Oryzias latipes: one gene and its partners. The protein of the gene in region 4 binds, or shares a complex with, the protein of the main gene of each other region. Links are inferred from orthologs where the notes say so. Each region holds a gene or a part of one and is shown on either strand. Other genes may lie near its edges. The genes, in order: trappc12, trappc8, trappc11 and trappc9.

Evidence for each region.
Region 1: trappc9 (region 4) and trappc12 share a complex: the UniProt entries of both Homo sapiens proteins name them as parts of the multisubunit TRAPP (transport protein particle) complex. The link is inferred for Oryzias latipes from reciprocal best matches to the Homo sapiens genes TRAPPC9 and TRAPPC12.
Region 2: trappc9 (region 4) and trappc8 share a complex: the UniProt entries of both Homo sapiens proteins name them as parts of the multisubunit TRAPP (transport protein particle) complex. The link is inferred for Oryzias latipes from reciprocal best matches to the Homo sapiens genes TRAPPC9 and TRAPPC8.
Region 3: trappc9 (region 4) and trappc11 share a complex: the UniProt entries of both Homo sapiens proteins name them as parts of the multisubunit TRAPP (transport protein particle) complex. The link is inferred for Oryzias latipes from reciprocal best matches to the Homo sapiens genes TRAPPC9 and TRAPPC11.

Annotation. Positions count from the first base shown.
Region 1 is NC_019880.2:20,780,052-20,787,396, reverse strand, and holds part of trappc12 (trafficking protein particle complex subunit 12), read right to left. Parts: coding exon 7,261-7,345; intron 6,164-7,260; coding exon 6,025-6,163; intron 3,044-6,024; coding exon 2,931-3,043; intron 2,815-2,930; coding exon 2,742-2,814; intron 1,965-2,741; coding exon 1,891-1,964; intron 1-1,890. UniProt on the Homo sapiens protein: Component of the TRAPP complex, which is involved in endoplasmic reticulum to Golgi apparatus trafficking at a very early stage.
Region 2 is NC_019862.2:1,512,230-1,520,006, reverse strand, and holds the start of trappc8 (trafficking protein particle complex subunit 8), read right to left. Parts: upstream 5,756-7,777; 5' UTR 5,678-5,755; coding exon 5,521-5,677; intron 3,897-5,520; coding exon 3,687-3,896; intron 3,347-3,686; coding exon 3,257-3,346; intron 739-3,256; coding exon 564-738; intron 1-563. UniProt on the Homo sapiens protein: Plays a role in endoplasmic reticulum to Golgi apparatus trafficking at a very early stage. Maintains together with TBC1D14 the cycling pool of ATG9 required for initiation of autophagy. Involved in collagen secretion.
Region 3 is NC_019868.2:27,377,594-27,384,530, reverse strand, and holds part of trappc11 (trafficking protein particle complex subunit 11), read right to left. Parts: intron 6,896-6,937; coding exon 6,802-6,895; intron 6,378-6,801; coding exon 6,298-6,377; intron 6,067-6,297; coding exon 5,988-6,066; intron 5,907-5,987; coding exon 5,852-5,906; intron 5,773-5,851; coding exon 5,627-5,772; intron 5,542-5,626; coding exon 5,480-5,541; intron 5,026-5,479; coding exon 4,893-5,025; intron 4,797-4,892; coding exon 4,666-4,796; intron 3,025-4,665; coding exon 2,899-3,024; intron 2,824-2,898; coding exon 2,630-2,823; intron 2,547-2,629; coding exon 2,398-2,546; intron 1,498-2,397; coding exon 1,376-1,497; intron 1,290-1,375; coding exon 1,170-1,289; intron 1,088-1,169; coding exon 1,022-1,087; intron 830-1,021; coding exon 673-829; intron 598-672; coding exon 486-597; intron 410-485; coding exon 318-409; intron 187-317; coding exon 53-186; intron 1-52. UniProt on the Homo sapiens protein: Involved in endoplasmic reticulum to Golgi apparatus trafficking at a very early stage.
Region 4 is NC_019869.2:24,206,208-24,213,552, reverse strand, and holds part of trappc9 (trafficking protein particle complex subunit 9), read right to left. Parts: intron 4,212-7,345; coding exon 4,085-4,211; intron 3,318-4,084; coding exon 3,185-3,317; intron 849-3,184; coding exon 688-848; intron 1-687. UniProt on the Homo sapiens protein: Functions as an activator of NF-kappa-B through increased phosphorylation of the IKK complex. May function in neuronal cells differentiation. May play a role in vesicular transport from endoplasmic reticulum to Golgi.

The DNA of each region.
Region 1 (7,345 bases), on a different chromosome or scaffold from region 4:
CTTCTTCCTCCTTCATCAGTTTAGTGCCAGAGCTCGTCTTCCTCCATCATTCATTCAGCTGGATGATATTATTCTCTGTGATTATCTTCCTCAGCGTTTCAGGATATTTTCAGGCCGCTTCTGAGCCAGTGGGCCACAAACCGCGAATATTGTGCGAACACTGTAGTTCCATGAACATCTGGCTCAGAGCCGTACGGCTGCATAGCCCCGCTATCGCTCGCCGTTTTTAGCTACGCTAATGTTAGCTTTCTAATGAACTCCGGCTGTTCTGCAGAAAATATGAAGTAATAAGAACAGATTAGATTTATCTGCTTTTCCAGACGCTCAAAGTTTTTCCAATGTGTCCATCATTCATTCATTCTTGGGGATGGTGACTAGTGATGTACCACAGCTGCCCCGGGGCAGACTGATGGGGGCGGGGCTGCCAGTTCCCGTCTGCGGCCCCTCTGACCATCACATTCATGCACATTCACACACCAGTGGAGCCACGCTGGAGGCAGGGAGGGGGAAGTGTCTTGCCCTGTCTTGGCTGGGGGGAGCGGGGATCGAACCGCCAACCCTTCAAACATTGGACGACCCGCTCTACCGCCTGAGTCACTGCCGTTCAATGTCTCAACCATTGACAGTTTTTTTCTTTATTTTGGCCAAAAACTTTAAAATCATAATTAAAGGACCTCTGGGAATCAGAAAAAATACAGTTTGAGTGTCACGAGCTTAAAGCTAATTCAAACTGAAAGAACAACTTTTGGTTCTTTTTCTCATCATAGGTAATAATGAACTTGATTTATATCTAGTATTTTACTGTATTGGCAACATATTATGATGATATAATTTGAAAACTTCTCAATCTGAGTAGGGAACATGGCTGTGGCGTGATCCTGAATGCTGCAGCGGATACGTCTAAGTATTGTTTGACGTTCTCATTGTTTGTGTTGCGTAGCAACAGCCATTTGTGGGTCCAACAGCAGAACGTCTTGGTCCGGCTAACACCATTAAATACAACATTTCTTGTGGTACATTACAGTAACTAATTACTGCAGAGTTACTGTCTGAAAAGCGTACATTCCTCTCAGCGCTCTTTTTTACCACATCACAGCAGTGAGCTCCGCATGACAGCACAGCGCTGTGGTGGGATTCTGCGTCAAAAACAGTATTTCCATCTTGAACAATATAATCATATAGAACACCACAGGATGTATTTATGTTATTTTGAAATTCAGACTTTGTAGAGGGAATACTAAAGATATTTCTCTCATATTAAGCGTAGTATCTGTATCTGACTCAATGCCACAATTCTATGCGTTTTTACAACAAAATGTATAGAATTTATCTCTAAAAGTTTACTTTTTCACCCTCTGGACTAAACACAGAACTGCTGTGTTTGTTATTTAATCTGGAGGTAAATGTGAGAACATTTAAATTGGTCTTGAAGCTATGTTGTGAATTACGGACATGTTGTCTTCCCTTCTTTAAAGATTTTGGCAGAATGGTGACTTCAAAGCAAAGAGAACATTCAAATTTGTTGATGTAGCTACTTAATCTCTGGAATAACTTGCACATCATTTTATATTGGATGCCGCTTTCCCAACGTCAAATATGAAAGTTCCGTCACTGAAGCCGAGCTGAGTGTAATAACAACCGTCACCAGCAGGTGGCAGTATGTTTCTCTGTGGGTCAGAGCTGAGCCCACACCTCCCCTCCACTCCCACATCCACCGGCTTTCTCTCTTACTGACCAAGAATCCAATTAGTGGTCAGTCTGTGGGGATTTCACTGTGAATCCTCCAACTGCCTGGCATCAGAAATCTCGGAGACTCTGTCTCACGCACACACAAAGGCGACGTGCACACCAGCACACCGTCACACAGAGCTGACAAACACACACTCCTACCTTCATCAGCAGCAGGCAGTTGGCCATGGAGTACATGACCCGGCTGAGACGAGACCTCCACAGCTTTAGAGACGCTAGCAAGACGAAGATAAAAAAAAAGAGACCAAATAAGGGGGTGCCACGACTTTCTATTTTTATTCCAAGTGTTTGTTTCTTGCCCCCCCCCCCCATACTTCTTTCACGTCCCACTCATTAAAGCCTGCTGTGCACCGGCTTTATTTTAATGAAAAGCAGCAGAACTGCAGCATCCAGAATCTGAATGGCCTGTTACTATTCCCCGCTGCAGATGCAGGGGAGCTGGGGAGAGCGGCTAGTCACTCAGTGGGGCTCTGAAGCGTGATAGCATGGCCCCGTGTTATTGACTTGACTGTCAACTGTGTGGGCAGAGCCAGGAGAGACAAAGGACACAGCCGTTACAGTGATGCTGCATGGGGACAAATGAGCTCCATTTAAAGCCCCTCAGGCACACGCACTCCTAGATGTGCTACCTCGCTAATTCTCTCAGTGTAAACACGTCTATATTTAGTTCCAGTGAAACAAGTTATTAAGCTGATAAATGCATGTTGCAAACATGCTAGGAGCTATATGATGTGTGGATGCAAAGAAAGAAAGAGGAAAGGGATTGTGGGAGTGGCGAGTGTACACCTGCTCATCTCCCTAACGCACTTTTGCAGACATCGCTGGATTGGTGGGATTGATTTCTATTGATCTGACTGGTGTGCAGAGCTGCTAAATCCATTTGATATTCAGTGCGAGTTCCAGGGCAGCGAGGTGCTAAACACTAAGAGCATCACATTGGAGTGAGGCTGGGATGTGCTGCAGTCCTGCAGCAGGTGTGTCTGAGTGCTTACCTTGCCTGTTTTCCTGTGTTAAGGTGACCATGCTGCCGTCTTCAGCCAAGCCCTTTTCCAGGTTATCTAAAATCTGAAGGGGAAGAAGAAGAATCGACAACTGCTTCTCTGCCACTACTGTACTACAACTGCAGCTCCATACGCTTTCTAAAGGATTGAGCATGGTATTATGTTCTGTGCTTTACTAACAGCGAGGCAGATCGTTTCTAGGTGGTGAAGGCGGTCCAGAGCCTCCTGGGGCTTGGCCAGGTACTGGGGGAGCTCAGCGTGCAGCAGCCGCATGGAGAACGGAACCATCGAGCCTGGACAAAAAAAGAAGATGGGTGGATGAAGAAGGGAAGGGGTAAAGGAAGAGAACAGAAGATATAGGGAGGAAAACACAGAGGGATGGAAGTGAGAGACAGAGATGAGAGCATAAACCCATCCACCCACACACAGACTGTACACAGCCCTGCAGGCAGGAACCTACAGATGGCATTGAGCTACGTATGGCTGCTTATTAAAGCCTCTCATCTCTCCCTCTTACTGTGCTGCACCGCTCCATCACTCATCCCTCTGTCTCTGCCTGCCTCCGCATCATTCACACTGTTTTCACACACACTCATTCAGCTAAAGTCTGTGTTCAGGTGAGTCTTCGGGCTTTGATGGCAGTCTTTTTTGATCCCGTCATCTGATCTAAAACCCAGCTCGCTCATCCTTTTGGTTTTTATCACAGTTTCAGCTGTGGTTGAGATTCCAATCTGCCTGCAATCTCTCTCATTCCTCTACAACCCCCCCCCCCCCCCCCCCCTGCATTTGTGACAGCATCTGGGTTTCAGACCCTCGAGTCGTTCATGCTGACTGGTGAATGGGCTAGCACATTATTCTGTTCATTTTTACTTGTCAAAAACATTTGAGAAAGTTTGTTTCCACAATTCATTAATTCATTCAGCCTATCCATACGATTATGCATTAAAGCACTTGGGCTCCAAAATCATAGTATTTACGGACGATAAGTCCCTCCGGACTATAATCTTCCTTTTGGGAGAAAAGTGGGACGCGTCTGAACGTCACACACGCCCAGCAGATTTACGCCGATTCATGCGTCCTCCATGTTTGTTTTGCATCAGGCGTATCAGCGGCAATTCTTCTTCTTCTTCTTCTATCAGTCGCATATTCTGCTAAGCACATCTACATTGCCCTCTAGCGGTTATTAGTGGGAAAATAATGACTATATGAGCCTAACTATTATTTTAAAATCACAAATAAATTGTGCCTCTGGCCAAACTCTGCAAAAAACAAGGAACCTTAATTTAGCATCAACTTGAAAGCAAAAACATAAGTGATTTTTTTTATGGCTGGAAATAAATTCAGCTGTCAAGGGGCGTTGGTTAGAATCCTAAAATGTTGAAGCAGCTTTTACACAAAGACAAGAACAGCTTCAACTTAAAGCAACACAGAATCCTCACAGAAAAATCATCTAGCAGCATTGGTAGGCTGCAATCAGGGGTGTAACGATGAAATCACTTAATTGATTTCTATTCCAACAATCCAACCAGATCGATCTGTTTGAGGCTAGTTGTTAAACCGAATCCACCTAAACCGTTACAAAGATTGTTGTAAATGAAATAAATCCATTATATCGATCTCCGAAAATACCGTTTTAGATAGAAACGTGGTACGTTTACTTTACAAAATGGATCAGTCCATCATTCCAGTCCAATGTGTGGACAGACTTTGAATAAAGTCATGTGACCATCCAGTGTCTAGAATGTTCTAAGAATGTTCCCTTTGGATTCTTTGGATGTGGAAAAACAACAGTGGGGAACTTTAGGAAACTAACATGTGAATGGATTTGACATTCATTCTAGTTGACTTGTTTGTTTGGCTAAAGATGATCTGGATCCATTTGAGGCCAGTAAATAAAATGAATCCTTATACCACTGGTTGCATTTTAGGAACCAATGTGAAGTTTTATTTAAGACTTACAAAATTTGATCATTGTTTGAAAATCTCCTTCCATTTTGTCCGTACCCGACACGTCCCTGATTTAGCGCCACCTTTGGGGCGTCTGCAGTCTAACAATTGAACACAGCAGAGGCAGAAAGTCTGCTGGAAATGCATATTGGTAAACAGAAACAGCAATTTGTTGGTTGATTACTATTGCTAAGATTTACTGAAACTACCGTTTGTTATACGCTTACCTGCTAAATGAGTGTATTTCTGAGTGACGTTACTGCGCCATTGTTTAACAGTCCATTTTAAACTCAGTTTTTATTTCAAAAGCAAGACAATGAGGGATGAGCAAGCTTTTGCTGAGTTAACCCTTGTGCTATCTTAGATGACCCCACCCTTACATTGACGTGTTCTCCCTACCATGACAAAGGTGGATAAAGGTGGAAAGATTTCATGTAATCCATGGACACCAGTGAAGATCACAAATCATTTGAGAAAAAAGGTTCAGAGCACTGTCTAGTAGTGGGTCTAGATGACCCAACTCCCAATGGTAAAGGGCCTTAGATAGCACAAGGGTTACTCTCAATTCTTGGTGATGACACAGGTATAAGCCTTCTTTTATCGCGTTAACAGAGGGTTGTTGGGGATAAAAAAACAGCCTACACATGCATCAGACAATACAAACGTTGGACTTCTGATCCTATACTACACAACTTAGCAGTTTGTCTCTGGGGAATCAGTGGGCATAAAGGGTTTAATATTGAGCAATGGAAAGTCAATGGGTGCGCTTGTCAGAAGGCTGTGCGATGTCGTTTTGAGCGCTGCTCTTTTTTAAGAACAAGTGTGTGTGTGCAGCTGTATCTCTGATACTGCCTTCATTGTGGTAGCCAGAGGGTGAAGCAGATCCAAAGTAATGGGAATACATTAGAGAGCGATTCATGCAGTGTAAAAAGAGGAAAAACAAAACCAGAGAACTGCTGGAGACAAGTAGAGTTGTTGAAGTTTGTCAATGATACAGTCTGATGTGAAGCTCCTGGCAGAAACTTTCCTGTGAATATTTAATTAGAAAGTTGTGGTGCAGTGTTAATAATGCGGGTATGAGGCTAAATTCTCCTAGAGAGCAGAACAATAGTGCTGCAATTACTTCATGACACTTTTTCAGCAAACATTTGAATTTAGCAGGTTTTAGACAAATGGAACATGAAAGGAGACGAGAGTTAAAGTCTGAGTGTAGAACTGAGGAGCGTAACCTTTGAAATCTCACTGTCTTTAACCTAATTTGAAAGTCATTCCTTCATATATAATTTCACTCATCAGATGGGGGAAGGTTCGACGTTTTTACACATACCTCTCTTCCCGGGGTAAACAGCTGGGTAGTATTCGTAATACAGGTCTGGCTGATCCAGGTTGCCAAAGGGTTCAAACTCTAGCTCAGCATTTTGGAAAAGGTTCAGCTTGGTGAACAGAGCCAGGCGTACAAACCAGAGCTGGAACACACAGAAAATCATTCTAAACTGTTGGTAAAACCATTTTCCAGCCGGTGTTATCAGGCAGACAGCACCACTGTGGCATTTTCCATACAAACATTTCACATAGAAATGGGTTAAAGAGGTTCATATATCTGCGTTCTCTCTGAAACGTCCTGAATGTTTCAATGCATCATTATTTAAAGGGTCTATATCATGCAAAGTCAACTTTTATGAGCTTTTAAGTGATTTATAATGTTTATTCCTCATGAAAAACAACCCCAAAGTGGTACTTTGATCCATTCACTCATTTCTAAGTATTCCACTAAAAACCTGCTCTCTGAGGACCAGCCCCTCCCAATCCACAAAAATGAGCGGGTTCATTGTCACATTGTGACATCACAAAGTGAGAACCCGCCCCTTCCAGGAAGAGAATTTTCTGCAATCCCCTCCCCCAGTCTAACACACACGCCCACTTCCTCCGTGGAGCTAGTGATCGGCTAAATGCTTCCATTTATGAACAATATGAACATCCATCTTTGGAAATGTTCAGATGTGTTGTTTTCATGGGAGAAACTCAGACACTATGCTGAGGCCAACTCTAGGATGATGTCACGAAATGGGCGGCACCCACAAGGAGAGAAAGGCGGAGCCTCAGAGATCCAGTCGTCTTAGTTCCAGGTAGGAAAATGAGCAAAAATAACTCATATTTCACAAAAGAATGGTTCTTTAGTGGGTCAAAGGTCATATATGATCATAAATGTGGATTTAGTTTACTCTAAAAGACTTAAGAAAAGCAGGATATAGACCCTTTAAAGTAATCAGTAGAAAGTAGCATTCAAATTCAGTCAAAAATTCTAGACATGTCTCTAAATCAGACAGGCATCTTCTAAAATAGTTTAACTATTCAGGTGTGGTAGCTAACAACATTTTGTTCCAGGAATGCTCTTAGGTCTACTGCTGGACGGGTTCTATTTCCTACTAAGAAGTAATCGCATTACTAGGCAGCACAACATGCGCCTTGGCTTCATTCATCTCTCCTGCCCACAGAAACACAGCACTCGAGTGGCGGGAAGACAGCGAGATGGATGGCTGCAGAGAAACTGCTGGCATCCTACCTGCAGAGAGTCGGTGGTGTGAGACGCCGCTTGGCCGGCCTTGCCGTATCCTTGACCATGAGCTGTCAGCAGCCGTCCCGTCAGA
Region 2 (7,777 bases), on a different chromosome or scaffold from region 4:
TTGCGGCTAGCAGGTGTGTTGATAATATTTGAGTGTGTGTGAACAGGCCCCGCCCTTTTTGTACTACATTTGAACCGTACCGTAACGATAAACAACCAGTAAACCTGTCTGCTCTATGCTGCTTCATGGTCTTACCCCCCTTCCCCTCCTATTATCACCCTCCTACCCCCCCCTCTCTCTAACGTCCCTCTCTCTTCTTCCCCTCTTTCCTTTTCCGTCCGGTCCAACACCAAAGATTTTCAAACATGATTGAAATTAATAAATTTTGGCCTCAATTACAAAAGGGGTTTATTCAGACATACCTTTGGTTTGTCTGAAGATGAATAACCCCTCTTGTTAAAATAAAATATGTCCAACACAAGAGGCCCTCAGCTCTCATCTGTTTGCCTAGCTGTTGGACAGGACAAGTTAAAAAAATAAAAATAAAAAAATAAAAAAATAAAAAAAAAAAATTTAGTTTAAGGGGTCTATTCAAATACACACCTTGTGTGTCAGAAGATTCATAACCCCTTTGTATCAGTAAAATATGTCCCACAGAAAAAGCCTTCAGCCCCCCTCAGTACCTCTGTTCATCCCCCTCGCTCAGGTCGTGCAGCAGGACGTAGTACTTCAGAGTGTTGGGGATGAACCATCTGGGGTGAGTGTATTCTCCACTGTGCTGGATTCTGTGCTGCTCCTGGGAAAGCTTTAGGAACTGCTCCACAGGGACAGCCTCAGTGGAGGACACCACCAGCAGACCTGGAGGGCTGAGGTCAAGGAAGCTTGCAGAAGATGGAGAACAGATCTACAGCATGGTAGAGGATGATAGCTACAAGAGGAAGCCAGCAGGTTTATCTCAACTTTGGATTACCCAGCTCTGTGGCCAGAGGGGGCAGCATCTGCTCTGACTGGGAGATTTATGAACCCACAGTCAGGTGATCAGAGAGATTTGGGAGGGTTGCCTTACCTCCAGCCCTAATTTCTGTTGGCTATTTTAATGTAGATCTAGTCTACAGATGGCGGGAAGATATTTACTGCAAATGTTTAAACCCTTTAACACCTGAGTAGTCACCTAAAAAACACACGTTATTTGCCAAACGAAACTCTATATGATGGATGTGAACAGTCTTGTCTGCTAGCATAATTTAAAAATAATATACTTAAATGTTCCAAAGAATGATAAAACTGGGATTGATCAAACAGCTTTTAGTAATCAAAGGACTACTAAAATTCGGAGGGAACCAGCTACTAGATGGTTCGATTAGTATTTCACCATCTTTAAAATCTTTCCTTCAAAATTTCTGAAAATATGGCCAAGTATCTGCTCTAATTTACTAAATGACTGCATCATCCTCGTGCTTTGACCCAACAGCAGCATTTGACACAATTGATCGTAACAGTGTTTCCTGTTTAGAACATGGGTGGAGGTTGGAGGCATTGCACTCCAGTGATTTGGGTCTTATTTCCAAGGTAAGACCTTTTGTGTCCGCTCTGGTGACCCTGTGGCCTTGTCTGGGATTATTGAGGGGAGTTTTTAGACATTTTAAATCTTGCCATAAAAAAATTCCCTTCGCATGCTGTATTAACATGGAAGCTAATCCTAACCCTACAGCAGGAGCTGCATCTGGATGACGGACACTTTCAGCAGTACTTCTGTCTCTCTGGTCATGGCTCAAAGCCGAGTCTCTGATTGGTTGATGCGACGTGTCTTCTTCACCAAAGTTTAGATATTTGAACTTTGGATGTGCACGGAATGAACTGCAATGCCCGAAACACACTGCTGACTGATTGACACGCCAGGCCTGACACTTAAAACCCTCTGGTCGCATCTGTACATTGACTGAACATCGAAACTGTTTGCCCCGATGTGCAAATCTCGCTCCGTGTGAACGCAGCTTTAAGCTGGATTCCCAGATTAAGGTCTATTGTAAAATCAGGCCTTTAACCAAAAGACAAAATGCCAAAGTTAAGGCCCGTACACACCGGGACGAATATTCGCCAGGCGTTATTCGCCAGCGTTTTTCGCCACGTTTTTTGTGTTCACACCCAGGCGATTTTCGCTGACGATGAGTGGAGTGAACATGCAATTTCATTCCCTGACATTAGATGGCGCTTAATGTAAAACAGAAATACTCCTGTACACAAGGTGGCGCTGCGCAACTTTACGCTTCTTAAAGTCGCTTTTCACTCAGAAGAAGAGAGCAAGTACTTACGCGCTTGTCAGAATCAAACAAAGAAAACATGAATATTTCAAGCACCAGTAGCTCCAACTGGTGCTTGGTTCGGGGATATTTTAGAATGTCCGTCATTATTGCTTCGCGGCTGTGTAGACGCTACTTGGCGTCTATCTTCTTCGCTGGTATGTGTGCTCAGTAAGGCAGTTTTGTGTTTGAGCGCCCCCAAGTTGTGTTTTACTGTAACTTCAGAAGCTCCAGACACGTGAGCAAAAGCGCCATTCTCATTGGTCGAGTAGATTTCGACGCGACGCGTCGAAAAAAAAAAACGAACCCGAGGCGTTTTTTTTTTCTGACGCTTTGTCGCGTGGCGTTTTTTCGCGTCGGTGTGCACACTCTCATTGGGGCCCTTTGTTTAGTCACGAGGCGTTAAACGTCGGCGAAAATCGCCGGCGAAATTCGTCCCGGTGTGAACAGGCCTTTAAACCAATCATCTCTGGGCAACGCCTTCAGCCATTAACCCATGCCATGGACCATAGGCTTCACTTACTGCAGTGCTGTGTGTGTGGAGGGTCAGTAAACCTTCTGTGGTTTGTCTCCAGCTAGTTCAAACCGTTGTTGCATGCAGTTTAGTGATCATGTCACTTCCCATTTTCACTTCACTGACGGCCTGTGCATTTTAAACTCTTTTCTTTTTAAACCAAAAAACAGCCAGGATCCTTCCCAACTCCACCAAACACCCGTTCAGACATGAGAAAGCAGCCTCTCATTTCTGGACCAAGCTTTTCCTGTGGCAACTCCTAAGCTGCAGAAAGACGTTCCAATGAACATCCGGCAGGCATCAGCTCTGTTTTTAATTCAACTTTTACTGCTTTTCTTCCCACTGATTTCTAAAATCCCTCTCCAATCATCTTTTGATCTATATTCAGACTGTTTACCCCATAGTTCAAGTATCAGTGCCTTCTGATAATAGCTTTTAGGCTTTAGTTTTAGCTTGGCCCCGTTTTGAAAAGCAAACCTGGCATGGTTTCATCCATTTCCAAAGGAAGTGAGTATGCTCAGCGGTGCTAACCTCTTCAGAAGCTAACCCTTCTCAAGGATACAGGCTAGGTAGTGATTCAGGAACTCGTGCTCAGAAGCAGGCATGGACTGCAGGAAATTCTCCCTGTAGGCCTCGAACCACGGAGTGGTAACTGAAACAAAACACTGCAGTTAATATTTGAAAACACTGATCAGACAGAAATACTAAAACTGCTTCTGCGTGGTTCTGGTTCTGATCGACTGACATTCACACAACCCCTGAAGTCTGCTCTGTAATGCAGACTCCAGAGGGACACTGAAACCTAGAGGAGTTAAAGGTCAAAGCAGTAGGAAGGAAGGACCTTAAAATCCAGTATGGAACCAGCTCTGCAGAGAACTGCAGACGCATGGGTTCATCTAACAACCACATCAATTCCAGAAACCAGCTTGCTCAACAGAACTCAGTCCAATCCTGCTAAATCTGCAGAAAAATCCTCACAACCAGATCCTCACCACTCAAGTTCAGGTTGTAGTCTCCTGTTTTAAAGCTAGTGGCTGCAGCCCCCTCCAGCGGCTGGCAGGATGACACCACCTCGCCAAGCTGCCGGTACTGGGCCGGGCTGAGAACAGCAGGGGAGGAAACTGGGTTTGTGGTCACCGCATTGACACAGATGCGTAGGTTTTTCACAGTCTGCAGCTGGTTGTTGGGGTCCCTGATGTGACCTGCAAAAAACATCAAGAACAGCATCTCACAACAAGATTTGTGGCTAAAGAAGACAGAAAATAGGAAAAGCTGACGGTGAAACTCTCTCCCCTATAGCCAACGAAGCAAAGTAATATTTTCACAGATGAGGGTGTAAATTCAGTCTGATGAATATGTTTAACGTGGACAGGTTACTGAAAACTGTAAACTCAGACTGACAGGGTCCCTGTGATCTCAAATTGAGTTTCGCAGGAGATGCTATGAAGATGTAAAAAGTTCTTGGGAAAGAATAATTCATGACATGTACATGATGACAGTAGACCAGGGAGCCTCCAGAGCCACATGTGGCTCTCTTATTCCTCCATTGTTGATCTTTGGCTTTAAGCAAAAATGGTAACATTTTAATTGGTAGGAAATTAGCTAGTTAAGCTCATATTCTAATCTATGCAGCACAATAACATCTAAATGTTGACATAATAGAAAATTCCGTGTTTAACCTTCATTTTAATTTAACTAAATCTGTTGCAGTAGGAGGTTCCTGAACTTTAATCTTAAAGGAACTCATGCATGCTGCTGTCAAGGTAAAACATTTAAAGGCCGATATCCTGCTTTTCTTAAGCCTTTTATAGTAAACTATATCCATACATATTATAATATATTAGCTTTGGCACACTAAAGAACGTTTTTTTAATTAGTTATTTTCATGAACTCTTTTCATATCTGGAAGTAAAATGACTCGATCTCTGAAGCTCTCTGAATTATTTTATTCAAATCATTGTGAATCAGTAGCAGATGAGAAAAATTTGTAGTTGTTCGGTACAAACTGGGCCTCAAGCTCTCCGCTTTGCTCCATTCTGATGATCCACTGTCAGACCAACAGATGGAATCTGAGCTGGAATCTGGATCAGAACTGGAGGACTGCCACTCTGCAGAAACTATGTTCTAGAAAAAGACACGGGCTTTTGGATTTTAGCTAAAAACTGCATAACCATAATTCATAACCATAATTAGACTGGGAAAATAGATTAAAAGATGTTCAGAGGGAGAATTTTAAAGTTGTTATTTGTAGAAAAATAGGAGACTTTTATAATTCAAGTGTTGTAAATATTTAAAAGCTACAGTTCATCAATGAATTGCCTAATGGCCACAAAACAGAGAGATTCTTTTTTCTAAAAGGTTAAATGGGATTTGGTAGGTGTCGTTGGATTTTGGTTGGTAAGAAACTGGACCTAAGGGCTCTTGTGGAGGTAAAGGTTGCAGAGCCCTGGAGAAGAGCAGCAGATGAAAACCAGCCAGATGACAGCAGCCGGAGGCAGCAAAACATGGATGAGGCCGTCAAAGACCAGATTCACGGACAACCAAGGAACAGAAGCACCTTAGTTTTCACAGTAAACATGTCCACACAGAACTGGATCAGAACCGGGCTCAAAACAAACCAGAAACTGTTACTATTGAGAAGAAGAGAGCCAGACTGGATCAGATAAGACTTAAGAGCCAGAACTGTTTTCGTAAGTCCCCGAAGGTCCTGAGCGACCCTAGTTGCTGTGACAAACGTCTGGTTCGGTTCTGGCTGCAGGACAGACTCCAGGCACTGCTGGGTCTGCATCCGAACACGGCCGAACGAAGCCTGATTCGGACCCATACCTTCGGAGAGGAGCCTGCAGAAAGGCCGCAGCAGCTCCGGGAAGCTCAGCTTGTTCTTTCGGGAAACTCTGTCCGCCTCTTTGCTGCACAGGACGGCGACCATCGGGACGAAGGAGTCCTGGAGGAACTCCTGAACGGACTGAACGCACTGCGCCATCTCCACAAACACCGAGAGGGATACACTTCACACGACAGCCATGACACTCTTCTTCTTCCGGTGTAGGGCTGATGCGGTCAGCTGACGCTGCGGGAACCAATCAGAATCTTCTCTCCGTTCATTGACCAACGTCAGCGTGCGTCTGTCTGTCTGTCTGTCTGTCTGTCTGTCTGTCTGTCTGTCTGCATTTTTTTTTTTTGTTTTGTTTTTTTGTGTACTTTAAAAAAGTCCCGGTGATCATTCAAATCTTTTCCCAGATTTTGGTTCTAACATTTTTCAAGAACTACAAAAACAAGAACTTCAAACAGGCTGGGTTCTAACTTTATCATTTTTAAATTTCCTTTTTATTTAAGTTTCCTTTTTTTAATTGCCTTAGGGATAATTAAAGACCTATTCTATTCTGATCATGAAAACCAGAAGATGAGCTGCAAATAAAAGTAGAAAAACCACAAAGTGTCACAGACATGATCCGTTTAGTTTATGTGTTTGTCATGATATCACCAGTCTGTTCTTCTTCTGACTTTATCCACTAACATTACAGAGAAAAACAGTGGGGAAGCATTAAATATGAACTTTTTTTTTTATTTTGTTTGTAAGTCAAACCCCAACAGCAATATTGGGCACAAAGCAGCAAAGTCTGTGGGAGTAAATTTACGAGATTTCTTTTCATAAATCTACGACTTAAAATGTCGTAATTTTACTTTTTTTTTTGGTGGCTCTAAAACTCCGTGGTATAACTGCATCAAATGACTCAAAATGAAAATGAAAAATCAATCCTCCAAAATGCTTTTTCATACTTAAAACTACTTAAAAACCGCTTAATATTTATGTCGTAATTAAAGCGAAAATGCAAAGAGGGCATTGCTTTTTCATTTTCACATCCACCCTGTGAATAGTGTTGCATTATTCAATTCTACTTAGCATTTCCAGCGGGGAGGCGGGGCGATGACATCAGTGCTCTTTCCGTGTGTCCAGCTGCTAAGAGGCACAGACAGGCTAGGAACAGTGCGGACAGGCTTGTAGCTTTGTGTTAGCAGCAGAGGACAGGGCTTTGTGACGGCTGTGCGTTCCTGATGACTGTACACAGCTTCTCAGGACTACGTAGCAGCATTTCCGCCTTCCGCGGTTCTCCTGTCGATACTTCCCCGGTCTAGCTTTATCTTCATACCGGCAGCCCCCTCGGCGTAGCCGTAGCTGGCCCGTGATGCCCTGCAATTCAAACTCCGCATCTCCCATGGAAATGATTCTGCCATCATCCACCACTGTTGTCTTCTGTGAACGTCCAGGTCTTTTTGTGTTCAGTTCACCAGAGCTTTCTTTCTTTCTCAGGATGTACCACACTGTTGATGTTGCCACTCATAATACTGTAGCATTTCTAGCATTGTTTTTTTCTGTTTTCTCAGCTTAATGATGGCTCCTTTCACCTGCATGGAGAGCTCCTTTCATCGCATGTTGTCTGTTCACGGCAAAACCTTCCAAATGCAGCACGAGTCCTCTAATCAACTCCAGGCCTTTTATCTGCTTCACTCATAATGACATAAGGGAATTGCCCTCACCTGCCCATGCAATAGCATGGAAGTCAATTGTCCAATTACTTATGAGCTCATGAAATGAAGGGATTGTGTTTAAAAAATGCTTTAGTTTTTCACATTTTTATGCAATCTTTTTTTTCAACCCATAGAATAAAAGCTGAAAGTCTGCACTTCAATTACATCTGAATGGTTTTATTTAAAATTCTCTGTGGTAATGTACAGAAACTAAATTAGCAAGAATGTGTCTCTGTCCAACTATTAAGAATATAAAGTTGAAGAGGCCCGAGCTGGCTGCCTCCCCATGCCCCAACTGCTGTCCCATCTACCCACCGGGCTGCCTCTGAGGCCAGCAACTAACTATATCCGCAGCTAAGTGATGGGGCTGCCTTAGTGACCACATAATTGACCACATAATACTTAACAGCATTTAATACTGTAATCACTACACAAGATGTTTTAATTTACAACTCTCAAACAGCAGTTAAAGGACATTTTTCACGGTAAATTAAAGCTGTTTTAAAATACAAAATTGATTTACAACAATTACTCATCATGGGTGACTGTATGC
Region 3 (6,937 bases), on a different chromosome or scaffold from region 4:
AGTCGAAGTAACGACTTACAGCCCTGAAAAATGGGTTCGGATCCGGCCGTACCTGTTTGAGTCCAGAGAACATGAAGGCGTCTGACGGTTCGACGGCCATCTCCACCTCCTGCACCAGAGATGTTCTGTTCTCGATGTGGTAACGGACTGGAAGAGACTCTCGGACTCGCCCGAACGACGGCAAGTCTGCTCTCAAACCAAAGCAGGAGGAAAAACGTGACAGCATTTTTTGTCAACAACACCGTTACTACACTCAAGGCAAAATATGTTGGAAAACAATGATGAAATCCCTACTTTGAGTCCAGGTCAACACCAACCTGCATAAATGTAGACGGGAACCGACTCCAGAATGATGTGAGGTAGAGTGACGGTCGTTTGGATGAGCGGACCGTCTGGATTGGAAGACTGCCTGTTTGGCAGAGAAAAAACCTCTGAAGATTCCTTAAAAACAACCTGTTCAAGCACGATAGTGGGCGTGAGCTTACCTCCTCCACGAGATGAGGTACTGTCCTGTGGCCACCGTGTTGTTGTCGTTGGTCCCCGGCGGACATCGCAGACAGAAGCACTCGGTGGCACACTCGGCCGTCTGCAGAACAACTGAGCACAGACATGGTGGTTCAACCAGAGGGCCGCTGCCTGGGGCAGATTTCACAGCAGAGGAGACTGCGGAACCTTCTTGAAGCTGCGACTGGAGCTGGGGCGTGTTGCTGGTCAGCGTGAGCAGCTGCAGAGACGAGGAGGCCAGCAGGAGAGGCCACGGAGACGACGAAACCACGTCCGTCAACAGCAGGAAGGGGATGTCCACTGCAACCCGGTCCAGCGGCTCAAACTGCAGAAGATCCCAGAATTCAAAGGGATTTGAAAAACTCCCGTTTGGACCAACAACCTCAACATGTTCCTGCTGATTTTTCACTACCAAACAGAATGTTTGAAATGCTGGCGTGGAAAAAAAAACCATCTCTAGAACAAGCAAAGGATGTGATCATAGTGTTTATAAAAGCAAAAACCATCAGCAACACACCTTTGTGGACACAAACTTGACAGATACGTCAAATGGAACCAGCGTGTCTATAGTGACCGTCTCATCCTGAACAGAAAACAGAAAAACCGAAGATCAATAATCCGTCAAAGACTGAAGGACTAAATCAAGAGGTGACCAGGTTCTCCACCTTGTGACATTTGCAGATAATCTGCCGTCCTTCCACTGCTGTTTCAACGCTGTAGGCCACGTGGAACAAGAAGACCCGGGGTCCAGTTGACCCACACCTGAAGTATATACATTTCTCCAGCTGGACACAGAAAGGAAAACCCTCAGCGGTTGTGAGGAGGACTGCGCTGGCAGCCGTGCAGCGTGTTCTGGTCTGCTTTTGTGTACCGTTCCGCCGGGTTGCAGGTCCCCCAGAGGCACATCGGGAAGCAGAGACGCAGCAGAATCGTCACAAACCTTGAAGGCGTCGAGGGTCACGTGGGTGGTCTGGCTGAGGTTAGCGTCCTGTCCTGGAGAAGGCAGGTGTGAAAGGACCATGAGGGGATTTGAAATGTCCACATCCCGTAAAGAAATGTCTCCCGTGTACCGGTACCACGGATCGGTACACGGGGACCATCCGGTACTTTCTTAAAGCAGCTGCTCCTGCCGCTGAACTGAAACCCTCAAGCTAGCAGAGTTAACAGAAAACAAAGTTCCTTTTGGCAGAAAAGAGCCAGAGCGGAAACAGAAGAAGAGCCTTGGACTTCAAAATAAAAGAAATCTGCATTTAACAGATAAAAACCAGGAGTCTTTACTCTTAAATATGGATTTATTCTGACAAATGTTCCTACAGACCATGATAATAATGTATAATATTCAGGGACCAGCTGTTTGGGGTTTCGTGGATGCTGCTAATAAAGTTGTTCATACGGCGGATTCACATTTATGATTATATTTGGAAAATACCTGTTTTAGGTATTTTATAAAACAATTAACAATTAATTTATCTTTTAGAAATTAAAAGTCAGGTGAGACTAACGATTTTTTTAGCTTCCACTTTGACAGTTATGGGTTAAGGGTAAATTTTTATCACATTTAAATAGTTCCAACACAAAATCTAGAGTGCAAATAAAGTTGAAAGCAGCTGCAGATATTTAACAGAGGACGAAAATAAACTTCACCCTGAAAGGTTAAGAGAAACTGGAAGCTAAAGAGAAGTAAAAAGATAATATTGGATAAGCCCTTTTAGCCTCATAAACCCAGTCCATGAAAATATTGTCCGACATTGAGCCGCTGGAGAAGAAGAAAGAACTACAAGAAACAGCGACTGGTGTGTTTAGGTTGGAAGCTTCTGTTGCTGGAAGCCGGTTTGTTTTGTGTGATCACAGAATCCACGGACGATCAGGGATTCTTGTGCCGTTTGTCTTTACCTGGCTTCAGACCCGTTGTCAGCTGCACATCTCTGGCCACGGCGTCCTCCTGTGATTGGACGGCGAGGCGGATGCAGTACATCTCGTTGGTGAGGATGGGAGGCTGGTGGCTCAGAACCACGGAGATCTTTGGGACTCTGGAGATGATCCTGCACAGAAACAAAAGCAGTGCAGGGATGAAACCAAGTGCTTCCTGCCGCTGGATTGTTCCGGTTCCTAACGAGTCGCCTACATGGTGCTGTTCTGCAGAGTGATGCCGTCCCAGTCGAGCTCCGGATGCGCCTCGTTGCCGCGCGCCCAGCGCCGCGAGGACCTGCTGGACTGCAGGGCTTCGTGAGCGGAGGCGGCGTCTCCCCCTGCCCCCCTCCAGCTCAGGAACACGCAGCGGCCGTTGTCACTGCCCATCATCAGCTCGATGCCCGTTATCTGCATCATCGACATCGGTTAACCGCCGCTCTCCAGCTCTAAGTTTCCCCGTCACGCACACAGACCGCGGCTTACCTCAATCTTCTTCCCAACATCCTCCGTCTTTGCCACAAAGCTAAAACGGTAGCGTTTGGGTTTCCCCGGCAACAGCGTCATGTCCTCCTGACCGGATGATTCAGCCACACACCACTGGTTGTACTCCTGCAAGAACAAAAACAATCGTTTTGACATCAAGCTGACGGACGAAAGATTCTTTCAAAATTTCTAATTATTACAGATGAATCTCCATCACAGACAGTTCAACCACCATCCTCATCGAACCGCGACATCTCAGCCGGTTTTCCTCAAGGGGAAAAAAACCCTCACTTTTGATCAAAGACCTAAACCCTTTTGACTTCCTGTTTAAATAAAGGTGTGAGGAACAAAGGAGTAATGGAAGGGGCGATGGTGATGTTCTTGACAGAAATGGGGATGATCCTGTTTGAGCGCCACAATAAAACTTCTTTTAAAAGCATTTAGAGAAGATAAACGTTCAAGTTCATTCTTTGCTTCTTAAGTTTGTTTCTGCAGTTTAGGAGCCAATGCAGTAAAAAAAAAATAACAACAAAATCTAACAACATCACTTAAAAAAACCACCAGCTTTTGGAGCAAAGTTTGCCGTATTCACATTTGATTTTAACTCGTCTTAAACCTGTTAAACAACATTAAAACGAGCAGCATCAGAAGGACACTTTGTTTCAAATCTAAAGGAAAAAGAATTCAAATAAACACATGAGCTGCCACCTTTACAGCATATACAACAAGACATTTGTAACGTGTCTGTGTTTGTCTGTAAAGGTAATAAAAAATATCACTTTTTTTAATAACCTTCTTATTTTACTTACCAAAAAGCTGGCATTTTGAGGTAACCCTAATCTACCTTAACAGAACACAAGACTTTATGACTTCAAATGCATAAGAATGTGTAAAACTTTCTCCACGTTTCTCTACACAACCAGGCTTTAGCAGCTCCTGGGTTGCTGTCCGTGGTGCTGAAATGAGGGGAGCAGACCACCTGCTTCATTGATGATGTGTTTATCAATTAAAACTCATCAATAACTGTATGGTCAAACAATCTGTCTGCATAGATGAGCTCCTTTTTCAATTTTTTTTTGCAACAGCAAGGTGTAAAAGCATTGCTGGTGTGGTAGAAATACAAAATTAAAAACAAAACCCCCCAAACTATCTAAACTATGCTAAACTTTATAATTTCTTTATAATCTACTCTATAATTTTTTAACATTTATATAATCAGCCTTAAAATGATCAGTTTTTCAGACAGATGCCATCATACGGGCATCCTTTTGGCCCTGCAGTGTGCTCTGGTACCCCTGGTTAGAAAGCACAGACGTAAAAATAAAATCCTATAATAAGATCCTCCCACCCCTTCTTTATATGATATTTCAGAAGGATGTCGTTTCATTCTGTGGGTTAAGGAAGGGTGTATTTCTATGATTGTTGGGTTCTTTTTTTGTTTATAAAAAATATCTTTCTGCTCTTTTGGTTTTAGGATGTAATCATACAGGAAGAATTCAGTGGAAACAAGGCAGCTGCAATCCTGTCACTGTTAGTTTTGACGTGTTTAAACCAATAAAATGTGCTTCTCAATCCAGTTTCATGCACAACTGTCACTGTGCAAAATGTGCACCGTAAATGTTAAACCGATAATGAACAGAAACACCCGAAGGATCTGCGATTAAACATCAAAAATTCAGCTTTTGTGACAGCAAAGTTACGTTTATGAAACTAAAACGGACGAATCGGTTTAAACCTGGACGCCCCGGTTTGTTGTCTGGACTTTACCTGGTTGCTCAGGCTGACTGACAGCTTGTTGAAGGACACGGGATGAGGACAGTCGGCCCGGACAAAGACCTGCAGCTGGATGGGCTGGTCCACATGGAAACTGGGAGACTGGAATTTAGCCTTACATTGGACTGATGGAGGAGAACATCAAAAATGAAAACAAACACATTTGGGATTTTTAAATCATCGTGAAAAGGTTATCCTTTAAGGTTGGAGAGTTTCCTGACTGAATGGGATGTAGTCCTGAACTTCTATCGTCATCTCATTGGACCCAGCCAGAGCCATGCGGTCGGTCCACAGCGACCTGGCAGCGCCGACAGAAGACGGGTCACAGTCCGGCTCGGGTTCAGGCACGTCGTTCTGAAAACGACATAACCAAAAATAATAATAATAATAATGGATTGGATTTATCTGCGCTTTTCATGACACTCAAAGCGCTTACATTGTGTCCATTATTCATTCACTCCTCATTCATACTTGGTGACGGTAAGCTATGGTTGTAGCCACAGCTGCCCTGGGGCAGACTGACAGAGGCGTGGCTGCCATTTCGCGCCTACGGCCCCTCTGACCATCACCGGGAACATTCATGTACATTCACACACCAGTGGAGCCACACTGAAGGCAAGGAGGGTGAAGTGTCTTGCCCAAGGACACAACGACATTTTGGCTGGTGGGAGCGGGGATCGAACCGCCAACCCTTCGGTCATTGGACGACCCGCTCAATCACCTGAGCTACTGTTGCCCCTAAAACACACATGGAGGAATCCTGATCCTGATGAAGACTTTGTTTTGGCCGTAAATGTGTTTTGCTCACCATCAAAACTTTGAGGAGGTTCTTCTCAATCCTCGACTTTTGCTCCTCCTTCAAATCAGAGGCTGCGACACAAACGTTCACAAAATGAAGCGCTCCTGTTGTCGTGTGCGCGTCGGACGGCAGGAGTGTTGAGAACGGATGACTGACCTCTGCCCAGCAGCTCCATGCAGTAGAGGATGTAGTCCTTCACGCTGGCCATCAGATAAGCGCAGCGCAGAGCGGTGCTCAGGATGTCGGTCAGCAGAGCGCACCATCGCTCCGTGCGATAATCACACATCACATAGTCCAGCAGCCTGGTAACAGCACACACAGTTCATCGGCTTTCACCCGACTCCGGCATGACGGGTTCAACTTGAGCTGCGCTGGACTTACTTAAAGGCTTTGGTGTAATCTTTTGCATGATAGTATTCCTCTCCCATCTGCACCACTGTGACGACAACAGACAGCACAAAAAAAATGTTAAAAACATTTTTTTAATAACAGGAAACCTGAAAGTGTTTCTACGTACTCAGGTGACTCTTCATTCGAGGGCACTTGTACTTCTTGAATTGGGCCACAGCGTTACCGAGGAGCGCTATAATCAGCTCCTGACAGTGAAACACAGAGAGGGAAGCAGCTTTTACGGCATAAAATTACATTTATTCTTTATTGATCTGTAGCCTTTGCTGTCTGGCAACTGAAAATGAACAATGTGGCAAAATATTCCCAGAATAATCAGAAAATAATGGCTTCAATATGGCCAAAAAGGCCAATTATTTTATTATTTGTCCTAAATAAAACAAGGAAAAGCAATAAGTGCACTTGAATTAGGCACTTACAGAATGCGGTACATCTCTCTCCTTGATTTGCAGAGCGAGAATTCCCACCTTCTCCTTCTCTGCGTCCTGTGGGTCGATACCTGGAGAGAGAGTAAAGGCCACATGTCCATGAAGCTCCCTCCCCTCTAGGGATGAGTACCAAAACTCAGTACGGTACCGTTATACACAGAACTACCGGCACCAGATAAAAACGCAGATTTCTGTGTTTCACTTTTGGACAAGTCTATTCAGCGTCGCTGTGTAATTCTAGCCAAACGTTTGACCTTTCCAGGGATTGTGGTAGGTTTATGCTTTTGTGGCTTTCCTGCTGCTCAGAACGTTTCACAAATCAGAAACTGTGTTTAATGTGTTTTTTACTATCTAAATCATAATATAACCCAGGTTTGAGCAGTCCAGGTCCTGTGGTTTTTGAACTGGAGCGTAGTAAGCGAGTGAAGGTTTGTACTTCCCAGCAAAAGATTTGACTTTATGGATCATTCTGCATGAGAAAATGCTCGCTCGTACTCTGATGTCCTTGTCTCCAGGGCCGCTGGCCGTAGAAGTCCAGCCCTCCGCTCTGGGTGTCCAGTGGGTCGGGAGAAGGATAACTTGCTCCAGCCTTTAAGGATCAAGCAGTTTAACTAATGGAGATATGATCTTA
Region 4 (7,345 bases):
GAAGATCACAAATCATTGAAGAAAAAAGGTTCAGAGCACGGTCTAGTGGGTCTAGATGACCCAACTCCCAATGGTAAAGTGTCTAGGATAGCACAAGGGATAAAGGTGTCAATTAAAAAGGCTACCATAAAGAGCAACGTTTGGATGGACATAATATCGACTGTCCCAAAGACACACGAGGACTGTTGGTTATCTGTATGACTTTATAAAAACACGTCATGTGGTAAATCATCATCCGGCTGTGATATCTGCCAATATCTGCCGCTGTTCATCAGAAATCTATTATGAGGAAGGGATTGTAGACAAGCTAATGGCACAGAAGAGCTTCTGAGGCATCACGGGGCACAACGCCCAGAGCTCCATCAATGCTACACGTTTCCATTTATCACTGCAGAAAACCATCTCAGCTCTTCCTGGAGATGTCTCTGTGCTTCAGACAGAGCAGGAAGAGAAAGTGCTGGGATATGACCTGGTGTTGAATACAAAGAGTCCCTGAGGTTTGAAAGATGAGGAGAGGCTTTCATGGCTGCATCAGTAGGGGAAGTTCAAGCTGCTGTTGTTCTCACGTGTCTATTTTTTCTATTTTTCATCTGTTTTTGCCAATTATTTCCATTTAATGTGCAGAGAGGATGAATGACAAAAGGCTACAGCAGCAAACGCAGACACTGCAGGATTTCTTATTCTTACCTTTGTTGCTGTTCTTGGAGGTGAGCTCCAGAGTCTCGATGTCTATGGATCCGATGTTCTCCAAGGTGATGGTGAGCTGCTGCAACTCCCCATTGAAAAGCTGGACGGACACGGAGCTGGGCAGCTCCTCTTTGGACGTGGCCTGAGAGCTGTGAGTCGACCTGATCCAGAATGGACAAAGACAAAAATGTGATCCACGTTTAAGCTTTAGAAGTCAATTTAATCTTTGATATCCACCACAAAAATCCAAAGAGGGTTCAAAAAGTTCATGTCTAATCAAAGTTTTAGCAGAAAGGTTATGTTTTCCAAAGATTGAAAAGAAATTATATTCAAGCTCAGAGGCTGTCAAACATGGAGGGGGAAGCATTATGGTGCTACTGGGTCCAGAATTGGTGACACTGGTGTTTGTCGGCTAGTCGGAAAAAATGGGGAAAAAAAAGACCTAAAACAGAAATCCAAGCCATAAGGCTCCGTTCAGATACATAAAACAAAGATCTCCATAGAAAACTTTGGGTATTAAACTACCCCCAACGGGGCTCACAGGTGGAAGGAGGGTGGGGTGAGGAAGGCAGAGCTCGCAGAAATGGAAGAAGAGGATTGAACCGCACACCTGGAACTTAAGTAGGACGCTGAACAGGTGAGTTGATTAGACTGAACTAGAGAGGTGCATTGGGATTGAGTCCTGCCGGGTCCCACGGGACCCAACGCAAGTCTCACGGGAGCGGGCAGTTTAAATTCTGCTGCGGGCGGGAATGGGGTGGCTAAAAAAAACACAGCGGGATAGGGAAGTTGCCAAGCGATGAATGAGTACATGATAATGAATACATGATAAATGCAAAGAGGATAAATAATAAATACAAGCAAAATATGCCATTAATGCATTATGAATGTGTGGTGGTTCGACCTCAAACCACCACATAGGTGTTAGTATTTCTTTATTTTTTCTTTAAATTAAAACGTTAATTTTACTTTGTTTACTTAAAATGAATTAACAATTTGATTGGTTTTAAGTGAGAAAAAGTTGTTTGTTTTCTGAGTTTCCATCTCAGGTGAGCCATCCACAGTAATCAGCAGAGGAGATTGGGAAATTCCACTGGGGAACTGCAGGGGTTGCCAACTCTCCTCATGGACTTCATTTTGCTTATTTAAAGGAAATGATTTAGTCCACTTTTTCTTGAAGACTACTTTTGTATTATATGAATTTTGTTTGGTGTCTGTTTCCCTGTTTTGTAATCAGATTAATTAGTTTGAATGTTTGATTAGTTAGTTTCCTCTCCCTCATGTGTCCAGTATGGGTTTTCCCTGTCTATAAAGCTTTCCCAGTGTGTCAGTTTAATGGCTAAGTCTGGTCAGGCCTGTTCAGTTTAGTCCCGCTTGTTTTGTTTCATTTAGTTATGTTTTCAGTTGGGCCCAAATTACTTTATTTTTGAAACTATTCTGTTTTGTACCTTTTTTATCTTCCTTTACAAAGAAAAACTCTACAAAAAAAAACATATTAAAAGATCTTGCAAGATACACCTATTTTTGTCCATTGACTAATTGTGAACCTTCACAGAATGCATATGGAAAGCATGGTGAATGCATACAAATTCATAAGAAATACATGATGGAGGGATGATAAATGCACATTACATACATGATAAATGTATGTGAACATGTAGTGATAGAATGATGACTGGTTTGTGGATGGTGAATGTGTATGCTAAGTGCATGCTACATTCTTTTGTCATGCAAGGCGAAAACATAACACACTACTTGGCTGAACTGCCCAATTCAGAAAAGTTAGAAAGAAAAAAATCAGAGATTTCCTATTTTTGACTCTACAGATCCATTTTACAGACAAAAAAGTATCTTGTGTGAAAAGTTTAGAATAAATTTGTATAAAGCCCTTATTAAAGACACAGACAGAGGGTTTACTGAGCACATTGGATCCTTACAGAGTTAGGAAAGCACAGCTCCAGGCTAATTTTGGGAATGGAACAGCACAGGGCTGCAGTTTGCCTGAACAGAAACAGAGCCACCTCAGAGCGCTTCCAGCTTTGAAGTGTGTGGCGTGAAAACACCCCGAAGACCTCGTCTTACTTTTGTCATTGATGTGCCTCATCTGTCTGCTGCTCTAATACTTCAAGGCCACAGAACAAAAAGGTTCTTCCACATCAAAAGCTGCTGATCTGCTGCACTCAGATGTGACTTCGGCAGCAGTGGGTCACCTGAACATCATTCGGCAGAATTTAAAACCAACATTCAAAAAAAACAAAAGTATTGTTCAAGTAGTTGCTTATGAAAACTGTAAAAGGGTCTTTAAACTGAAAATGACACTTTCGTGCTTCACTGAAAACATTATGGGACGGATTTTCAGTTTTCTTCACGTTCGCATCTTTGAACCATACATCATTTCTGCTGTGAGTAGAGAATGACGTGTTGCTGCATAAAGACGGGCTGTGTTTGTGAAAATGATGAGGGTGAAGCTGCAGGGGGGGGGGGGGGGGAGTCTAACCTTGGCAGCGATGTGCTGAGCTGCAGGCGTGGCAGAGAAGGAATAACCTCCACCAAACAGCCACTGGCCTTCACACCGACCAAGTCCTCCAGCAGGCAGTCGCTGGACACGCCAAACACAGACGTGTGGTAACCTGCCAATCCAAGCAGACAGGAAGCAGATGAATCCATGAAGTGTGTGTGTGGGAGGGGGGGGTAACATTTAAAGGGTTCATTTCATGCAAAATCTACTTTTTGAGCTTTTAAGTGCACTATAATGTTAATTTCTCATGATAAACCACCCCAAAGCGGCATCTTGATCCATTCACATATTTTTGAGAATTCCTCTAAACCTGCGCTCTGAGCACCAGCCCCTCCCAACCCATGAAAACAAGCAGATTCTCACACTGACATCACAAAGTGAGGAACAGCCCTTTCCAGGAAGAGTCTGTGCTGGCAGCCCCGCCCCCAGACTAAAATACACACCCACTTTCTCCTTGGAGCTAGCGGTGATCGGCTAAACGCTTGCCTAAAAGGCATCTTTGCAAAAGTTTGGATGTTGTTTGTTTTCGCTGCTGAGGCCGGCTCTGCAGAAACTACGTTCTATAAAACTACATGGGTTTTTTGATTTTGGCTAAAAACGGCATAATCATAATTAAAAGACCTTTGGGATCGATTTGAAAATAGATCAGAAGATGACCGGAGTGGGTCTTTAAAAAGCTCATCTTGTAAAGACAAAACTGATAGGTAATTGATCAATTATAGCATTGGAAATGAGCAGATTGCACGTGGCAGATGTGGATCGGTCATCATGTGTTGCTTGCTTATGACCCACTGATGTCAACAGGTGACCGGCACAATGGTTCTGCTCAGCATGAGTCAGTGTGGAAGAGTCGTGCAGCGGCTCATCAGCTGGACTGACCGTTGACGGTGATGTTGCCGGCCGTGCGTGGGACCCCCACCAGGGTGACGGGGTACAGGCCGGACTCGGCGGGCAGGAAGAGAGCTGCAGGCAGAGACTCGAACTCCACTCCAGAAGTCAGCAAACCCTGAGTGCAGCACAGGATGAAGCAGAAGTCAAACAGATAACCCAACTGAACCAGAACCAGGAAACAAAAACATGCTGGAAATGAGTGTTTCCTGCTCTGGTTTGTTTGTCCCTTTGCAGAAAGAACCCTTCTTCAGATCTCATTGCATCTCAGAGAAGATTTGGAGTGATTCCTCATCTTAAGCCGCCTCCCCTCTGTGTTCTGCAGATAAAATCTCTGTCTGCATTACACTGCAGGAAATCACTGCACGGCTGAGAGGTGACTGGAAATCAGTCTCACAGAAGAAAGAGGGATCATGGGAACTGGAACCTCTTCCAACTCACTCTGAGCGTGACAGACAGCAGAACCTCCTCTGTAAACGCCTTCAACAGACTGACATGGAGACATCAAACAACCTGACCTTAAACCACAACAGCCAACCGGGAGTTTAGTCTTTATGGTTGATTTGCAGCTTTTTATCAGATTTTTTTAATCATTGAGAATGAATCTGAAAATTAAATTTGATGACAGATCTGCTGCTCCTACTTTCAGAAGGGTGGCAGTCTTTGAGCAAAAGGACTTTTTCTGCATCATAACCCAGAGAACAACAGCATTTGCATTCCCCGTGCGCAACAAGCAGACGGAGCTGACGTAATGATCACATCAGTCCCGAACAGCAGACGCTACCTCACTGTAGAGGGATCTGCTGAGGAGCTGAGCCTCAGAGGCGCTGTAGCTGTGATTTAAGCGCTGCCCGCTTTCACTCCGGGGGGCAGCACGCCGTTATTAAACCCCACAAACTCAGCTTTCCCTAATGGAAACAGCTCGTTTTGAAAAGGTCAATGATTCGGTTTCAGCACAAAAAAAGTGCAGAACAAAATGCTTAAGTCGGCATCTGCAGCCTTTCTATCCACTCAGAGAAGGCGTAGCTTTAGGAAGCATCGTGGACTTGAAAGAATTGAAAGTCAGACAGCCACAACACTGCAGACATTAAAGCTGGAGTTTTCCTTTAAGACTTTCTGTTCCTTTCATGTGGGACTCTTCAGGGTGAGTGTTTTGGCTGACTTTACAGGAGCGAATGCCTGAGAAGGCCCGGTGAAATATTTGTTAGCTTGACATTGCTGACTGATCATTTCTGGGCATCAAAACTGAATTAAATGGCTGGGGGTAGAGAAAAGACACAAACTTAACAGAAAAAGCCTGAAAGCTGATGTCTGACATGAGTAGGATAAAGTGACTTCCATGACACAAAACTTTGACCTTCTTTAGGTTTGAGAGTTCATGGTCCCTCACAGCAGCAGACCTGCATCTGGCAGCTTTACGCCCCTCTATGACTCCACACCCCAGCAGAGGTGCTGTGCCTTTCACCTCATCTGGTCTGTCCAATGGAATCCGCTGATGCTAGCATCAGCAACGTTCCTCCTTTGTTTCATTTGGATTGTTTTAGCTTTAAAACAGGTACAAAACAGACTCCTCCTCTTCAGGTCAGACAGTTTAGGTTTATTCTTGATTTTAAAAAAAAAACATATTTTTTAAATATTTTGAGACAGGAAACAGATATTTATGTAAATTCCTTCCACGTGTTGTGAAGGAAAGCAGAAATCCACAGTTTGGGGCTGAAAAACAAATAAGTTGTTTCAGCAGCAACAACAAAAAAAGCATTGAACCACTGATTCCTGTTAAGTAACATCAGGGACTTCATTGACAAAAATGAAGGTTCAGGTTTGGCTAAATTAATTTGGGAATGATTGAATGTTTTGGAACAACTAAGGAATCAAATTTGGAAACAAACAACAATTCAAGGAAAAACTTTAGGAATGACTTCAGAAAAAATCTTGTCTAGGTGTTCATTGACTGAGGGAGGATCCACAAAAAAAGACACTTGAGTTTGGATGTTTATGTTCACCTCATCACAGGGTCCATACACTTTTTTTAACCATGGTGTTCCATAACTTTTCCGACCCTTTTCCATTAACTTTAACTGAATTTTCAAAACTAAAAACAAACACATTTTAGTGAGACTATTGTAGTCGGTGCCGCTATATAGATAAAAAACACAGGTGACCTTCGTTTAAATTTTAGAGGTATTTTCCTCCTTAAGTTCTGAAGAACTACAAACTAGCTGACTTCATCTGCTCATGAAAACTAGAAGAAGAACTGCATTTAAAAGTGAAAAGCATAGACGTGATCAGTTTAGTTTATGTGCTTGTCACAATATCACCAGTCTGTTTTGCTCTTCCTTCTGACTTTATCCACAAATATTACAGAGAAAAATGGTGGATGCAGTTCTATTGACCAGTATGAACTGTTTATTTTTGTGATTACAGCCGGAGTTTGCCTAGATGTGAAGCTGCAGAGGCAGGCGGAGATCGTCAATAAAATACATGAAAACACCCCAGACAAACAATAGCAGTTTCTCAGTAACTCACCATAAATAACCTCAAACACATCACATTCAAGTAATGCAGGTATTAGACGCATCCCTATCGCTTTAGGCCTAAAACTGTTCTAGCTCATTAAAAAATGATAGCAAATATCAGAAAAAAATGTTTTCGAAGTTGACAAAGTCGACCACACAAACAACGTCCATCCAGCAGGTCACCCACAGACTTTGCTGCTTTGTGCCTGATATTATTGTTGTTAGGACTGAATCATCATAAATAAAGCCTGCTTGTAGTTCTTTGCTTTTGCACGCTTCTGATCAGGGTCTTTCAGTAGCCACAGTTCTCATTGTTAAAGCAACATTTCCCTGACATCATCTAGCATTTCACGATCCATGTCCGATAGCAGGCTGAAAGCGTTGTGCACTCTGAACTGATGACAACTCGACCTGCTTTATGGCGACAAAAACTGCCATCGTAAGTGTAAGGTTGAACTTCTGCCACAATTTCAATTCCAATCCCCTTAAATTCTAATATTTTAATGTATTTTTGCATCCAAAATATTCAACTTTCATGCCTTTACCAAAACTATGTCAGTTTACACAAACTTTTCAAGGACCTAGAAATTGCATTTTCATTTTCATAAATTCTTCCAGGTTTTTTCATGACAGTACGAAACCTGAATGTAAAAACAAATTCATTTTAATTTCCATATAAAACATGAATTTACAAAAGAAGCTGTCTATAGCAGTGGTCCCCAACCACGGACGGGTG